Linked DNA regions of Sus scrofa. The protein of the gene in region 1 interacts with the protein of each later gene in a biochemical or structural test. Links are inferred from orthologs where the notes say so. Each region holds a gene or a part of one and is shown on either strand. Other genes may lie near its edges. The genes, in order: MED23, ELF3 and SREBF1.

Region 1 (5,607 bases):
AAAACAGTGCCTGGCACATAAGTATACAATAAGTTTATCTGTACTCATTATTATTATCATGATGATGGCATATTCCATTTAGTTTACCACTTTTTCACATTCCAAAGTTTTGCTAACTAACGTGCCGAGAGCCCAGAACTATCACCTCAGTTGCACTATTTAACCCTCCTTTTAGACAAGTTTCCTAATCCCTCTGTACATCATTTTTAACATGAAACATTTACATGAAAACAATCTTGCCCTCTGCACCTCCTGCTCTGTTACCACTGCAAACCCCAAGATGGATAAAATGAATTTATCAAACTTCATTAGAACTTTATGTCCATATCTCATATTTCATTTTATGGGTGTTTGTATTTTTTTTTCTTTGAGAATTTTCTACTCTACTTTTGTCCTCCCTTGCCCCTTCCCTTTTGAAAAAAAAAAAAAAAATCTAACAAAGAGGAGGCTCACTCTTCAGATTTTAGCAATACTGCAAATTCATTTTTGGTCCTTGCTTTGTAAAGAAAAATGAAAACAAAGAATTAATTTAAAAGTTCAATTTTCTGATGTTCCTTTGTGAGGCAGTGGGTTAAAGATCCAGCGTTATCACCGCAGTGGCCCAGGTCACTGCTGTGGAGCAGGTTCGATGCCTGGTCTAAGAACTGCCATATGCTGTGGCAAGGCCAAAAAGAAAAATTCATGTTTCTAACTGTAAGTGTTTTGCTAGAGGTGGACCACTGGAACATAAACATCAGCAATATGAAAAACCACATGCTATACTTGCATACTGAAATCATATGATAAATCATAAACTATCTTTCATTAAATATTCACTTCTTTAGTCTATGAAAAGATAATTTAGCATTACACATCATATAATCCAGGATAAAGACTCTTAATGGATCAAAAGTTCCATTATACTTAGTAACATACCTTATCATATGGCAATAGGCCTTTCAAAGGAAAACGGAGAGTTGCAGGGTCCAATTTCCATGAGTTACAAATGGCACCCGAGTTATTTACAACTGGCAGAAGGCTGCAGCGGCCTGTACATATTACAAAAAATGTTTCTAAATAAATGTGAACACAGTAACACCTGGTTTTTCAAATATTTAATGAATACATATGCTAAACCAGGCACTGATTTAAAAAATATTTTAATTAAATGGAAGTTTGGGGATTTCCTTCCAGATGGTTAAAGACCAATTTGCACGGGCCTTCCAAACTCACAGATGTTCCATCTATCCAGGGACAGAGGTCGGCAAGCTACGACCCATGAACCAAATCCAGCTAGCCACCTGTTTTGTAAAGTTTTATTGGAATCCTTCTGCTTTTGCACTGTAATGACAGAGTTGGGTAGTTGCAATTGATTGTATAGCCCATGAAGCCTAAAATATTTCTTACATCACCATTTACAGAAAACGTTTATGGACCTTTAGTCTAGGGTCAACATGAGTAACTTTAAACATGATGTTCCTAGAGGCCTTGGATGTTGTATATGACCATCAGTCTGCTCATGCATCCAACTGCCTGATGAACACTATCACTGGGATGCCCTGCAGGCACCTCAAGTTCAACAACACTTAAGCTAAATTCATCATCATCCTTCTCAAACCTGCACCACTTCCATAATTCATTAAATGATGTCAATATCCACTCAGTTACAAAAGCTAGAAGCCTGAGGTTTATCCATCTTGGGTCTCTTTATTTTTGTATTTTCAGTGTCTAGAATAGCACCTGACTCATAGAAAATGCTCAAAATTTGGTCACTGACTAAATAATGGCCTATACTGGACTTCCTGTCGTGGCGCAATGGTTAACGAATCCGACTAGGAACCATGAGGTTGAGGGTTCGGTCCCTGCCCTTGCTTAGTGGGTTAACGATCTGGCGTTGCCGTGAGCTGTAGTGTAGGTTGCAGACATGGCTCGGATCCCGCGTTGCCATGGCTCTGGCGTAGGCCGGTAGCCATAGCTCCGATTAGACCCCTAGCCTGGCAACCTCCATATGCCATGGGAGGCAGCCCTAGAAAAGGCAAAAAGACAAAAAAAAAAGTCTATATTCCCAGGCTGTTCAGAGGCTACCAAGATTTCTAGAAAAAATTCAGGAAAATATATGATCCCTGCAAAAATTGCAAAATAAATATTTATTTTTAAAAGAAAACTCAGAGAATCTAACAAACATGAAAAAATGGAAAATAAACGACATACAGAGCAAAGATGTAAATTAGTATGGGCTGAGAGAGTCAGATAATGTTGTATACTACAGCCAGAGAGGGACAGATCCATTGAGACTTTCAGTTGTCTACAGATTCCATGACACTAACTATTGAAAGTTCCCTCTAATCACTGGGAAATACACTTTCTAGAATGGTTCTATCTCAAGCTTAGACCCAGTCCAGACAGTTGCTTTTCCCTCCTTACGCTCAGCACAAAGTACCTGAAAACAAGCAAAAGGCCATTATTAAGCTCCTAGAGTTATACCTTGTGTAAGTCATGAAGACATGTACTAGATACCATGCATTAACTTTGTTCAATAGTCAGATCGCTAAAAATTGGGTACTGTTTGGTATATTTTAGATTATAGTCCTACCACAAATGGAATTTATCCTTGCTGTAGGCCTGAAAGTATCCACAAAGTCTGATACCAGGTTTCCAAGTAACTAAAACAAAACAGAAAACAAATAAGTATAAAAATAAAATCAAGATTTTCCTCAATACAAGGATCATTTATATAAAACAATATGTAAAGATTTAATACAATTCCTGACACATAAAATTACTCAAAGATTAGTTTTCTTTTGCTTCTTCCAAACAATTATTTACCAGTTCATTTATCCCTGAATTAAGCCAGGTCATACCACCATGTCCTTCACTAATTAATGAAGCTGAGTATATTTGATCACAATGATATACAAACTGTCTCAACAGAATAGCAAAGAAATGAAAGAAATATATCATCTCATAATAAAAAATGATTATTATCTACAGATAAAATGACTTTTAAAAAGCAAGCACATAAAAATAAAATCAATATAACTATTTTTAATACAAATTTCTAGTAAAAATTTTAGAAAAATTTACCCAGTGTGGAAGTTTTCCCTCAGGATATAGTTTCCTGATCTCTGTAACTGCAAAATATGCTGGTAGTAAGCAAGCATTTCTTTCCAAGATATATGCAATAACCTAAGTAAAATAAAAGGGCAATGTTATTATTTTGACTCACCTTTCCCATAGATAAGCCCTTCAAATGCAACAATGGTATTAAAAGGTAGCGATATCATTTCATTCATTCATTGGGCTTAAGCTATAGCATTAAAAAATTATTTGTAAGTGGAGAATATCTAAAAATGAAGAATAATAAGCAATAGAATGGATTGCTGACAGTTCATAAATGACATTGAAAATGCTTTAAATACTGGTAGACTCCAACAGGAAGCAACAGACTAAGAATTCTTACAACATTAGTTACAAAACACAGCAATCTTTTGAGTGTTCCTTAGGCTGACTTCCTATAAGGGTTGAAATACTTTAATATATCTATATTGTTCTTTTCCTAATTAAAAATTATGAATTAAAATCTGTTTTTTTTAACTAAAAATTATGAATTAAAATTTAAAATTTCAGAGTTCCTGTCATGGCTCAGTGGTAACAAATCCAACTAGTATCCATGAGCACATGGGTTCAATCCAGGGTTGCAGTGAGCTGTGGTGTAGGTTGCAGATGTAGCTCAGATCCTGCATTGCTGTGGCTGTGGCGTAGGCTGGCAGCTACAGCGCCAATTTGATACCTAGCCTGGGAATTTCCATATGCCACATGAGTGCCCCCCAAAAAGAAAAAAAAAATTTAATTTCCTCTTCAAATATAATGAAAGTGAAATAGCATTTTTAAAAGTAGACATGATTTTTAGGTGTTCTGGCTGTGGCACAGTGGGTTAAGGATCTGTCATTGCCTCCGCAACAATGTGGGTTTGATCCCCAGCCTGTCACAGTGGGAAAAAAGGATCTGACATTGCCACAGCTGTGGCATAGGTCACAGGTGCAGTTTGGATTTGATCCTTGGTCGAGGAATTTACATATACCATGTGTGCAGCCAAAAAAAAAAAAAAAAAGGCCTGATTCTTGCAAAAGTAAGCAAATGGCAGATTTTACAAACTACCATTAAGTTTTACAAGCACAGAACTATGTAATATTAAACTTTTTTTAAGGCATGATCAACAAGTTGCAGAAATGTTTAAATTACCTCTCTTGCTGCTAGGAGCTGCTGTACAACAGCGGAGCTCACTGTATTGGGAATTGTTAAGATTTTCTCCAAAATCACTTTTAAAAGATCTCGAACACCCTGATATAATAGAAAAGTCATATGTTAAACTTAAGTAATGTCACCTGTGCTAGTTAAAATATCTAAAAGTTCCAAGATTATATACTTGGGGGGAAAAATGTTATCTTCAAGGTAATACTTTTAATTTTTCTGAACTAGAGCTAATATTCAAGCCCTTAGGATTAACCCAAGAGAAGTATCATGTTCCAAAACAGAATTGTAAAGAACAGCTTGCAGTATAAATGAACAAAGAAACTCGCTCATAAATAAAAATTAAATTTTCCACACTCTACTAAGCTTTTTTGACCTTCATAACATTAAAAGAGTTTCTATTATTATGAGTGCCAAAAAAACCCTTAATTTGAACTTAACAGACAGAAATACGTTTGAATAGAACTTGAAAATATTCTGAAAACATGGATAATGATATAAAACTTTCTGGTAGATGACTCCTTCAGCTCCTTCCTGTCGGCATATTCTAACTTTATTCCCCTCCTCATAATCCATCACATACTTTAATCCTCCCAACTTATCTAATAAAGCTATTCTGTTAATGGTCATCTACTCATATCTACTACCAGCTGCATTATTTCAGAGCAGAATGCGATATGTAGAGAAATTTCATTCTATAATATAAACCATGAGATCAATCTTGTAAAAGAGATAGATGAAACATATACATGAAAGAAATGAGAAACAATTATAAAGCACCATACAAGTAAGTAAAGAAGTAAAAACTACATATTAAAATGCTAAGGAAAGTGAAGTACAAATAGAGAGAAAATAATCAGAAAAAGCTTCTCAGAAGTGATTTTATACTAAATCATGATTCTAACCAATAACTGTCAGCTAAGTCATTTTAGATTAGGGAAAATACGGACATAAAGCACAGGGGAGGTACTGGCAAATCTTTCAAAATGGAAAAAAACAAAAGTAGCTTGATGAAGCAGCAGATTCTACAGCTACAGGGCTCCTGAGCTGTATTATGAGACAATCAGAGAGGGTATGCTGTTGTTTTTGGTCAAGAACAGAGTGCTGAAAATACCAGTTTTGAAAAAACATGTACCCAACAGAGGTCAAAGGGAAGCAGGACCCGCTCCTTTCATCAGCTGATGTCTGTGTCCCTTCTCATTCCACACACCCCTGCTCTGTGCCCTTTGATTTGAAAGGGGCCCAAACACCATTCAGATCTGTGGCATGAAGGGACCCAGAGTCTGCTTGCTGACTTCCCTACTTGCTACAGAAATTTATCAGCCACCTCTAGTATTAAGAATGTTGGGATGGGAGCCGAGAAGCTGTGGGAAACAC
Region 2 (5,707 bases), on another chromosome or scaffold:
TCTCCCCCTGCCCCCCCCCCCATCCCCCTGGCCACTCCAGGCCCTGACCCCTCCCCACCGCTACATCACCTGCTAAGGGAGGCCAGCCCACAAGCACGCTTGACAGCCCCACTTCTCCCAGGAGCCTGAGGCCTGCGGCCTTTCTCCCTGCTGCCTCCACATCCCTCCCCACCCCAGCCTCAGCCAGGTACTCTCCCCTGGAGCACGTGAGCTATCCTGGGGCTGGAGCCCAGAGCTGGTTCTCCCACATTCCAGGGCGAGGGACTGGGTGGAGGGCGTGCCTGGGGCTGTGGGGGAGGCCCCCCCCCAAGGGCTGGGGCCCTGCTCCCCAGGGCCCAGGCCCCCCACTCCCGGCTCAGTGGAAGGGGGCCAGACCCTCACTCCCTCTGCGCATCCAGCAATTTCAGAGCTGAGACTGGAAGCAGATGCCAGAGGAACGTCTTATTCCTCGCAGGGAGGGTTAAAGGAGGGGGCTGGGGGGCGCCCAGGACTGTGTGGGGGGGAGATACTCAGATCCTGCCTCTGCGATGTGGCCACGAGTGAGATTGGAGGTATCTGAGGGACTATTGTATCCAAACACACTCTTTTTCACGGATGGCAACCGGAAGAGACCCCAGAGGTCTCCCGCCCCCTCGCCACCTGGCTGCCCTCCCCCCGCCCCACAGGGCCTCGGGGGTCTGCAGGACGCCCCTTGGGGTCCGCAGTGGGGCTGGGTTCATGGAGAGGACCCTGTGTGGAAAGGTCACCTTGCCCAGAGGGAGGGCGAGGTCGACTGGAAAGAGCGCCGGGTGGGGGAGTTAAACCACAGCTCCACCACTTAACTAGGTCCGCGTGGCCTGGGCGGGTCATTCAGCCCTCGAGCTGCAACCTCCCGATCTGTAAAAGGAGGACAACCACACATTCCCGCCGCCGCGCTGCCCCGCCGCGTCCCCGATGCGGGCGAAGGGCGGGGCCTCTGGCCGCTAGGGGGCAGCAGGCAGGCGCCGGCACCCGAGGAGCGGAGGTTAGACGGGGAGGTCAGACGGAGGCCACAGAGAGCCGTAAACACCCGCACGTGGGGCCAGCGCCCTCTGCAGCCCCTGCCAGCACCCCCTTCTAGGTGGGCTCCATCAGGGGTCCGGGGGGTTTCTGAGCAGAGCCAGGTGCTTGGACAGGGGTGACCGTGATGCTTGTGGGGCATCCAGCAGGCAAAGAATGCCAAGACCTTGCCAACAAAGGAGAGGACAGTGGTGGGCCCTGTGGCTAGGGACGCCAGGGCCCTACCCAGACCCCCGTGAATGTAGCCTGGTGTCTAGAGAGCCTTCCAGCCTGAATCCTGGGCATCGTGGGAAAAACCCCAGACCTCAGTATCTTCTCTCCCTGCTCCATCCCCTTTGTCTTCAGACCTGCAGACATTGGGGGCCGGGAGTGTTCCCGACCCAGCTCTGACCCAGTCACGCACCCTCCCCTAGCCTGTCCCTGCCTGGCCCCCCTAAGGAATTTCCTGAGCCAGGGGGTGGCCGAAAGTGCACATGCCCACCCAGCGGCTCTCGGCCCCCCGCCCAGGCCACTGCCCTGTGCCCAACCCCAGAGGGTGCGGGATGACAGACCCTGACAATCATTAAACCAGCAGGGCCTGACTTCCCAGCACCGCAGCCTGGATCCCAGCCAAGAGGCACAAAATATGCAAATCACCTGGGGCCAGGAGCCCAGTCTAAAGGCCAGGAAATCCCCTCGACCAATGAGCCACCAGCTCAGGTTACCGCAGGCGCCTATAAAGGCCTGGGCGGGCGGAGCTCAGATGCTTGTTCTTAGGGCGCCGGGAGCGCAGCCAGAGCCTCTGCGCACCACCACCTGGCAGAGCTTGTCCCCGGATTCTTCCCGCCTGCTGTCCCCTAACCTGCCTGCCACACCCTCAGCCGCCACCGGTAGGACCCCAGCCCATCATGTTACCCAGCCCGGCCTGGGGACACTGGGGGTGAGGGGGCACTGGGGAACCTGTGTCTCCCCCAGCAGTTCGCAGGGTGGAATTCCCAGCCAGAGTGCAGGTGGTGTCCCCAGGGCCTTGTCCTGGGGGGGACAGACTGCTGGTCCCACTCAAGGACCCAGGTGGGCTGAGGAGGGAGCCTGGTGGGGGGCCTTGTGCCCCCACCCCTGCCCCAGCTTAGAGACCTTGGAGCCCTTATGGAGGAATAGGTGTCCCCAGAGCTGTTGACCTTCGCGCCCTTGGGCCCTTCCTGCCCCAGGCTTGGCTGGAGCAGAGTGGCTGGAGGGTAGGAGAGGACCGGCCCTCATCTGCCTCGCCCTCCCTTCCCAGGGAGCCTCATGGCCGCAACCTGCGAGATTAGCAACGTTTTTAGCAATTACTTCAGTACGATGTACAGCTCGGAGGACCCCACTCTGGCTTCTGTTCCCGCCGCTGCCACCTTTGGGGCCGACGACCTGGTGCTGGCCCTGGGCAGCCCACAGATGCCCCTGGAGGGCCCAGGTGGGTCTCAGGCTGCGGTGGGGTGTTTGAGGAAGGGGAGACGAGCATCTAAGAGCCTGTGGACAAATGGGGGTCAGGCAGGGAGGGCGGCTGGGGTGAGCTGTAAGCAGTTGGCGTGCTGGGGTTTGGGGGCCGGGAATGGTTGTGAGCAGTGCTTCCTGCCCCAGCCTGGCTGGGTTCTCGGAGAGGCACCCCAATGGGCTCCAGAAGGGGGCTGACCTGCCGCCACCTGCCCGTCCCCTGCAGAGAAGGCCAGCTGGTCGGGGGAGCAGCCCCAGCTCTGGTCCAAGGCCCAGGTTCTGGACTGGATCAGCTACCAAGTGGAGAAGCACAAATACGACGCCAGCACCATCGACCTCTCGCGCTGTGACATGGACGGGGCCGCGCTCTGCCGCTGCGCCCCTGAGGAGCTGCGCCTGGTCTTCGGGCCCTTGGGGGACCAGCTCTATGCTCAGCTATGGGACCTCAGTAAGTCCTGGAGGGGCCTTCCCCGTCAGGGAGGCTGGTCTGGGGAGCCGCCCTAGAGGGAGCCCGGGGGAGGGGAGAGGAGCCAGCCTGGGCCCTGATCCCCCTTCTTATCAGCTTCCAGCTTTCCTGACGAGCTCAGCTGGATCATGGAACTTCTGGAGAAGGACAGCATGACCCTCCAGGAGCCCCTCGGAGACCAGGGCCCCTTTGGTGAGAGTCTTCGGCATCCCCAGCCTGTCCTCCCCATTTCTGCCCGGTGCCACCCAGTCAGACCCATCTGAACCCTCCCCTGTTCTCCCAGACCAGGGAAGCCCCTTCGCCCAAGAGATGCTGGAGGACTGCAGACAGCCCAGCCCCTTCTACCCGGGCAGCTTCAGCGCGGGAGCCCCCTCCCCAGGCAGCTCCGATGTCTCCACCGCAGGTGAGCCCGGCTGGCGTCTGCCCACAGCTCCCCCTGCCCCAGAGGCCCTGGCTTCCCTGGAGGATGGATGGGAGTCGGTGGGCAGCAGTGTGGCTGGGAGGGGCTCACACCCACTCCCTCCCCAGGCACTGGAGCCTCCCAGAGCTCCCCCACCTCAGACTCCGGTGGAAGCGACGTGGACCTGGACGCCCCTGACAGCAAGCCCTTCTCCGGGGGTGAGCCGAGGTCTCCTGGTCCCCACGGGGGGTCCCACTGGCAGTGCCTGGAGCCAGCCCCCATCCCTCCCTACCCTGACCCACCACCTCTCCCCACAGATGGCTTCCCAGACTACAAGAAGGGGGATCTGAAGCACGGGAAGCGGAAACGGGGCCGCCCCCGAAAGCTGAGCAAAGAATCTCGGGGGTGTCTGGAGGGAACGAAGAGCAAGCATGGTGAGGGGGGGACCTGCATGGTGGGGAGGGCTGAATGGTGGGAGGGGGGCCTGCGCGGTGTGTGTGTGGGGGCTCACACCATTCCTCCCTCCTGCCCTCATTGCAGCTGTGCCTGAGGCCAGGGCCCTGGGTATGGGTCACTGCCTAGCAGCAGAGCTGGTTGGTGGTCCCTCAGGGGGGCACCTGGGGAAGGCTGGAGGTGGAGTCTAGTCTCCCTGCCCCTGCCCTGTCCTGCCTGGGGGGCCCATTTGCTGGTGGGAAGAGGCTGGTGGGTGCTGGGCAGGCTCAGGCAGGGACAGTGGCTGGGCTGCTGGATGCCCCGCCCACTGAGGGCTGGGCCAAGGCGGCCCTTCCCCTACCAAGTCCCTGCCCGCTGGCCTCTGGCCTTGAGTGAGTTCCCACCACCCTCCCCACTGGGAGTGTCCCTGCAGCTCTTGCTCATCCATGCTGCCTGCCCCCTGCCCCCAGCTTTGGGCCTGTTTTCTTCTTGGGCTTCTTTCCAAGAAGCTGTCCCCTTGGCCCCCAGGCTGGGGCCAGCTCTGTGCTCCTATACCTAACAAGCTCTCACCACTAGCTGGTGTATTTGCTTTGTTTTACCATGACCCCTCCAAACCACAAGCCCCTCAAGGCAGTGCTATGTCTCACCGCTCTGGTATCCAAGCCAGATATTTGATCAGTATTGGAGTGTGTTTAATCTCTGTGCTGTGTGAGACACGTGTTTTTGGAGCTTCCCAGCTGTCCAGTGGGTGAGGCGAGGAAGGAGGCAGCCATCAGTAGGCAGCATGCTGGGCCAGGCAGGGAGGCAGCCATCAGTAGGCAGTGTGCTGGGATGGGCAGGGAGGCAGCCATCAGTAGGCAGCATGCTGGGCCAGGCAGGGAGGCAGCCATCAGTAGGATGTGTGCTGGGATGGGCAGCAGTCATGTGAGTTGGGGGTGCCCTGGGCTACTGACTGATGGAACTGGCCTTGTAGCCCCCAGAGGCACCCACCTGTGGGAGTTCATCCGTGATATCCTCATCAACCCGGAGCTCAACGAGGGCCTCATGAAGTGGGAGAACCGGCAAGAAGGTGTCTTCAAGTTCCTGCGCTCCGAGGCCGTGGCCCAGCTGTGGGGTCAGAAGAAGAAGAACAGCAGCATGACCTACGAGAAGCTGAGCAGGGCCATGAGGTGAGACCTGCTGGGCAGCTGCTGGTGCTGTCACACCCCTATGCCTGAGTCCTTACAGTGGGGAAACCGCCAGTCCACCTGCCTCGTGGTCTGAGTGCAAGCCTGGGGCAGGAGGCTGGCTGCAGCACATGCTGAACTTGATCTGACATTTCTTGGTATTGTCTGCAAGGCCTGTTCTAAGAAGGGCACTTGCGGATGGAAGGGACACCATTGAAGCCATTGCCTTGTCCTCTCTGGACCTCAGGTTCCCCTCCAGATCATTGCTAAGCTTTTCTTCCAGCCCTCAGATCATGTGGCTTCATGCTCAGCCCCAGGCAGAGCTGTCAGATACCCAGAAGCAGGCAGGGCCAGGGCTCTGGACAGAGAGGGGCCATGCAGCTGGTGCTCCTCCTTGCAGGATGCGGTTCAGGTCACCTGAGGACTCTGGGACCGGGTGGGGGCCCAGCCTGGACCCTCTGACCACCCTTCTCCCCTCAGGTACTACTACAAGCGGGAGATTCTAGAGCGGGTGGACGGTCGGCGGCTTGTCTACAAATTCGGCAAGAACTCCAGCGGCTGGCAGGAAGAAGAGGTTGTCGGGCGCCGGAACTGAGGGTCGGACCAGCTCTGGGACCAAAGGCTCGAACTTGAGGCTGCAGGGCTGCCAGGCTGCCACTGGGGCACAGGCGCTGCGCCGTGGAGACAAGCTTCGGGTCTGGTGCTGCCGGTCGTCGTCCTGGCGTCTGGGGCCATGGCCTCTATTTTGTCCTTTTG
Region 3 (5,707 bases), on another chromosome or scaffold:
GTCCCCAGCGCCTAGGAGAGCCCGCAGCACACGCGCCTCCATGAAGCTTAGCTCAACAGACGGAGCCCCTGGGCCCTGGCTGTCCAGGCTCAGCCCCACCCGCCTCTGCCTTCCAGGCGGCCCTCCCCAGGGCCGCCCTGCCAGGGCCTCTGCCCGCACCTTCGCCTCCGTGCCCACCACCAGGTCCTTGAGCTCGATGATCTTGTCATTGATGGAGGAGCGGTAGCGTTTCTCGATGGCATTGTGAGCCGTCCGCTTCTCACCACGGCTCTGGCCTGAGCTCAGGGCTTTGCCCCCAGCTGCCAGGCGGTTGATGGGCAGCTTGTCAGTGTCCACTACCAGAGGCACCGTCGCCAGGATGGTCCCGCCGCTCACCAGGGTCTGCGGGCCCAGGCACGGTTAGGGCAGGCAGGCATGCATGCAGACCCCATGCCCCCTGCCTGGCCCGAGCTGCCCACCTGCAAAGGTGCTGCCTGCACGGCTGTGCCAGGGGCCAGGGAGCCGATGCCCGCCGCCTTCACAGGGGTCCCCATGTCTGTTTTCATGGTCGTCAGGAGCAGGGAGTCCGCCTTGATGAAGTGGGGCTGCAGCAGGACCTAAGGAAGGCAGAGGGCTCAGCTGGGGGCTCAGGGGCTGGCCGGGACTGCCACCTCCCTGGTGCCTGGCCAGCCCCCTCACCGGGACCTGCTGGATCTGCGAGGTCACAGTGGTTGTTCCAGGGGACACCACGGGGGTGGCCGTGGCTGTCAACAGCTGCTGGGGGGCCGCACTTTGGACCTGGGTGTGCACGGAGACGGGCGGGACCCCGGGCAGAGAGGCCAGCGGCAGGCCAGGCAGCGTCTGTGAGGTGCTCCCTGGAGGGGTCGCTGCAGAGACAAAGGCTGGGGCTGTGGACACAGGCCGCCCTGACCCACCTTCAACCCGCCCCGTCCTGCCCCGTCCTCATCACCGTGTGACCCTGGATGAGTCACCACCCCTGTGGCCTCAGGCCTATCTGGACAGGCCCTGCCTGGGGCTCTGATGCAAGTGTGCTGGCTTCCCAGCCACGCATTTATCTGCGCAAGGGCAGCGCTGCTGCGGACACCAGGGGAGCAGGGGCAGTGCGCCGGCAACAGGAGCCCGGGTGCTGCTAGGGACGGGGGCGCCTCAAGCAGCAGAGCAGGGACCCTGTTCCCAAAGGCCACCAAGTGGGACCTCCAGTCAGACCACAGCAGCCCCCTGACCCTGTGCTCCGCTGCCCCCTCCCTCCACACGCCCCCTTACCTGAGGAGAAGCTTCCAGGAGGGCTGGGGTAGCCCAACACGGGGGCAGGGCTCAACTGCGGAGGGGCGGGGGCTGGAAGGCTCTGGGGCAGGAGAGCCCCAGACAGGGGCTGTGGGGTGGGGGGCTGCAGGATGGTCAGTGGCACTGGCTCCTCCTTGATGCCCGGCCCAGGCGAGAAGGCAGGCACCGACGGGTACATCTTCAGCGGGGTGGGTGCAGGCTGGGTTGGGGACACGGGGGGCGGTGGCGGCGTCCTGGCCCCCCCCAGGAAGCCTTCAAGCGGGGAGCTCATGGTGGAAGGAGGCGGCGTCGGGCTGCCTGGGGAGCTGGCATCAGGACTGGTGGGGTCCGTGCCTCCTGCAACGCCAGCGTAGGGCGCGTCGAACAGGCCGGGGAAGTCGCTGTCTTGGTTGTTGATGAGCTGAAGCATGTCTGAGGGGAGGAGAGGCGGCGTCACGGATCTGCGCGGCCCTCGTCCACACCGTGGTAACACGTGGGAGCGACGCCACCAAGACAGAAAGCCACACACGGGCGCCCATGCTCGAGGACACAGATGTGCCCTGGCCCCTGTGACATCTGGAGCTTTGCCTGGTGCATCAAACAGCCTTGCGACACTGGACGAGCCAGTGCCACGCAGGCTAGGCCCTCCGAGGCCTGGGCCCCGACTACCAGCTCCAGAGCTGCCTCCCCAACCCAGCCCTCTGGGGAGCCCCAGCCAGCCCCTGCCCCGCGTGCGCCAGCCAGTGCATCCCTGCGTGTTCTGGGCACAAGCCCAAGCCCCGTCTGCAGCCAGGCAGCCTCGGAACCGGCCATTTGGGCTTCGGCTTCCGCTCCACAGAAGCAGTCGCTTCTGGCTGTCTGTTCCCCTTCCTCCTCGTGCCGCCTGGGACACCCTCCCTCCCACAGCCCCAGCCCGGCCACGGGCCCTCTCCCCCAGAAGGCAAGTAGCAGCCCGGCTGGGTCAGCCCAGGGCCCTTTAACCCACTGGGGGAGCCACCCACTGGGTCGGAGTGCTCTGCAGGCCCATGAGCAAACTGTGGGAACCCCAAGTGTGATCCCCAGCCTGAGCTTCCAGCTCTGCCCACCACCGACGGGCGGTGGGGTGTGGGCCAGTGGCTTCTGCCCCTGGGCCTCGGTTTCCTCATGTGCACAACAGCAAGATGAAAGCCCTTGTGGCAGGGCAGCCAGAGGTTCCGCAGGCAGGCAGCCAGCGGCAGGAGAGGGGCCTCGACACTGCCTGACAGGTGCTCCGGCGGGAAAGTGACTGCGCAGGGGGCCTTGCGACACCTCCGGCAGAGCAGGGCAGGGGGGTGCCAGGCTGAGCCCTCCTGGGCCCTCGGAGACCCCTTAGCCTACTGGCACAGGCTGCTTCCACCGGCTGGAGCCCCTCGCCCAGGCTTCCTGAGCCCCTTCCACGGATGGGGAAACTGAGGCCCAGAAAGAACAAGCGCCCGAACCCAGGGCTCCACTGTCCGTCCGGCAAGCCCACCATACGCCCCCAAAGGGGGGCCCGAGCGGCCCTTCTCCCTGGGCGGCAGGGGATGTGGGAGAGCTGCCCTCTCGCTTCGGAGCTTGGGGTGGGGGTGACTGCGGAGGTGGGAAGGGCCCGCCAGGTCCCCGGAGAGCCGGGAGCGGGTGCTCCTCCCCTCAGGAGCGGGCTCTCACTCGGAGCTCCGGCCGCCCCCCTGCGCACGGGGGCACGGACCCCACGGCGGAGACGGAAGCTCTGCTATAAAGGGGTGGGGGTCCTCAAAAAATACCTTCGAACGTGCAGTCCATGGTTCCGCGGCCCGCGCCCGCCGCCCCTCGGGGCGTCCAGGCGGCTGGCCCGCCGGTCTCCGCGCGCGGACTCCACCGGCCGAGGGCCGCCGGCCCGCCGCGCTTTAAAGCAGCGAAAGCCCCGAGCGCCCGCCGCCGGCCACGCCCCTCGCCGGCCCCGCCCGGGCCCCGCCCCGCCGGCCGGCCCCGCCCCGGGGCCGCGGGCCGGGCATGGGGTGAGCGCGCGCGGCCAATCAGCGGCCGCGCCACCGCCTCCCGGGGCCCCGCCCCGGCCCCGCCCCACCCCCACCGCGCGGTTCGGGTTGCGCCCCGCGGGGCCGCAGAGGGCCGGGGTTACTCGCGGACGCCGGCCCTTAACCCGCCCCGCGCCGACGTCCGCAGGGTTACTGGCGGTCACGTCCCGCCATCTCCGAGAGTGCGGCCGAAGGGGCTGCGGGGGCTGAGAGGCGCGGGGCCGGGGGTGGGCCAGGGATGGCCCAGCCCTCCGCCGCGGGTCTCAACCGCGCTAAGTCGCAGTGCGCTCCGGGAAAATGGGACGAGCACGTTTCCCTGCATCGACGGGGACAAGTAATGGGTGCAGGCTCAAGTGAGGCGAAGGGCTGTCTGGCCGTGGGGGCGGGGACCTCCCCCTCACGGCAGCCCCAGCGTGAGTCCCCACCCCGTGGGCCGGGGCCGGGCCACTGCCTGGAGCCTGAGCGAGTGCGGAAGGGACAGCCCCACCGCAAGTGCACAGCCAGAGCTGACGCCCTCTGCAGAGGGGCCAGGGTCTGGGGTGGGGGTCCGGGAAGGCGAACCCACCCCCACACTCCCCAGCAGTCTCAGGGGGGAGCCTGACTCACTCGCTGTGGGGTGGGGCAGGCCTTGGGGCGGAGGGTGACAGGCTCGGGGTCGCTGGGGGGCCACCTGGGCCTCTCTCGGCTTCGAAGGTCAGAGCGCCACACACTCAGAGGGACAGAGCCTGGCCAGCAGCCCAGGCTGCCAGCTTGGGCTTTTGCGGCCAAACAGACCCCAGGGCTCAAGCCGGCCTCCAGCCACAGCTGGGCCCAGCCCTGCTCCCTCTCCTGGTCTCCCGCAGCCTTAGAGGGGCCGATGGAGCCGACGGTGGCAGGTGGGGGCCGGTGGCAGGTGGGGGCCGGAGAGCCCTGGCCGGATGCTCTCCCTCTCCAGGAGGCTGCCTCTCCCACACACACGCTCCCCCTTTGCCCGGCTCCTGCCGTGGCCACGGCCGTGCGGGAGGGTAACGAGGGCAGCAGAATTCTCCAGCACCTCCACTTCCCTCTCTCCTCTGCCAGGCCCTCACCCGAAAAGTCACACAAGACATTGCTGTTGGGAAGGCTCTGACCTCGCCTGACTGAGACCAGAAGACACGAGGTCTGAATTCAAACTCACGGCAGGTCCTGTCCTCACTGTGCTCCCGTGTGTGAGCCCAGGACCTGGCAGGTGGACCAGCAGGGCCGTGGCCGGCCGCCCCACCGGAGCCACCTTCCTCTGCCCTTCTCCGCACTCTTGTGCTTCCCATTTCTCACCTGGCCATGCCCTGCCCCAACGCATCCAGACCAAGGAGGCAGAAGGAGAGGCTCCCAGCGGCCCTGCCGCCACCTCCTGGGGCCCACCCCAGGCAGGCCGGGAGACACAACCTAAGCTAAGATGCAGTGAGGAACAGGCACCTGGTGGCATGCAGAGGGCCACCCCTGAACTCATGGCCCGACTGGACTTCCCACCCCCGTGACACACACACATAGAGCCAATTTCTGCAGCAGCCGGGTGCCAGGGCCAAGAGGGGCTGGACCTGCGCCCCAGCCCTCCCTTGCTGTGTAGTCCCAGGGGAGTCCCTCACCCCTGATCTCGGAGGAGGGGGTTCTGGGAGGCGAGAAAGGCGCCCAGGGCACACTGTTTAAGGAAGCTCCCCGCTGTCTCACCCCAGTTCCCGGGAGAAAGGCTGGCCAGGGTTCCCCCCAAGTGGGGCCCAACCTCCAGTGAGCCCAGGCTCAGCTGCCGGCAGGAGGGGCGGCCCGCGTGCCCTTAACGCAGGGAAGAGAGGCACAGGTGGGCCCGCCTGCCCCCCTCCTCACCTTCCCGCCCTCCCCAAGCCAGACCCTCCTTTTCCTCTCCTTCCTCCTCTCCTGCCCGGATTCCATCAGGACCCAACAGGAAACCTGAGCCCCCTCCCGCCCTCCCTGGCTCTACCTTCAAACCTCCCTCTAAAGGCCTGTTTATTCTGGGAGCGCCATGCTGCAAATCCTGGGAACACCCCACACCACGAGCCTGCACGAGTCCTGCTCTGACCATCACAGGAGCCCATGGCCCATCCAACCTGCATGAGACCCTGAACCCCAAACTGTGCTTACATGCCTCCTGGGACAGGGAGCTCACCACCTTCCCCACATGACCTGGTCCATGAAGCCCAGATCTGTTTCACTGACAATATCGACTGTCAATTCCGAAGCGTCTACTGCATGTCCAGCCTGTGCTGAGCCCTGGGGTACAGGGACACAGCCTGAAGACCTCCCTTGTGGGCCTTTTACGTTCTAGCAAAGGGACACCGACAGTCTGCAGATACATGGAAGAGTGGAGGCACAGGTGCTGCCGAGCACCGTGGGGAAACCGAGGCAGTCAGGGCAGGCCTCTCTGAAGAGGGGACATCTGAGTAGAGACAGCAAGTGCA

Evidence for each region.
Region 2: the proteins of MED23 (region 1) and ELF3 form a complex in vitro, tested with the Homo sapiens proteins (4 studies listed by BioGRID, with this or other methods). The link is inferred for Sus scrofa from reciprocal best matches to the Homo sapiens genes MED23 and ELF3.
Region 3: the proteins of MED23 (region 1) and SREBF1 form a complex in vitro, tested with the Homo sapiens proteins (2 studies listed by BioGRID). The link is inferred for Sus scrofa from reciprocal best matches to the Homo sapiens genes MED23 and SREBF1.

The regions. Positions count from the first base shown.
Region 1 is NC_010443.5:31,965,514-31,971,120, reverse strand, and holds part of MED23 (mediator of RNA polymerase II transcription subunit 23), read right to left. Parts: intron 4,321-5,607; coding exon 4,222-4,320; intron 3,166-4,221; coding exon 3,064-3,165; intron 2,643-3,063; coding exon 2,573-2,642; intron 1,029-2,572; coding exon 916-1,028; intron 1-915. UniProt on the Homo sapiens protein: Required for transcriptional activation subsequent to the assembly of the pre-initiation complex. Component of the Mediator complex, a coactivator involved in the regulated transcription of nearly all RNA polymerase II-dependent genes.
Region 2 is NC_010452.4:24,236,093-24,241,799, forward strand, and holds the start of ELF3 (ETS-related transcription factor Elf-3), read left to right. Parts: upstream 1-1,759; 5' UTR 1,760-1,780; coding exon 1,781-1,907; intron 1,908-2,225; exon of another isoform or gene 2,226-2,296; coding exon 2,297-2,467; intron 2,468-2,713; coding exon 2,714-2,935; intron 2,936-3,049; coding exon 3,050-3,145; intron 3,146-3,236; coding exon 3,237-3,356; intron 3,357-3,481; coding exon 3,482-3,787; intron 3,788-4,758; coding exon 4,759-4,954; intron 4,955-5,431; coding exon 5,432-5,546; 3' UTR 5,547-5,707. UniProt on the Homo sapiens protein: Transcriptional activator that binds and transactivates ETS sequences containing the consensus nucleotide core sequence GGA[AT]. Acts synergistically with POU2F3 to transactivate the SPRR2A promoter and with RUNX1 to transactivate the ANGPT1 promoter.
Region 3 is NC_010454.4:60,738,756-60,744,462, reverse strand, and holds the start of SREBF1 (sterol regulatory element-binding protein 1), read right to left. Parts: upstream 3,152-5,707; 5' UTR 3,043-3,151; coding exon 3,024-3,042; intron 1,696-3,023; coding exon 1,264-1,695; intron 867-1,263; coding exon 679-866; intron 597-678; coding exon 459-596; intron 382-458; coding exon 160-381; intron 1-159.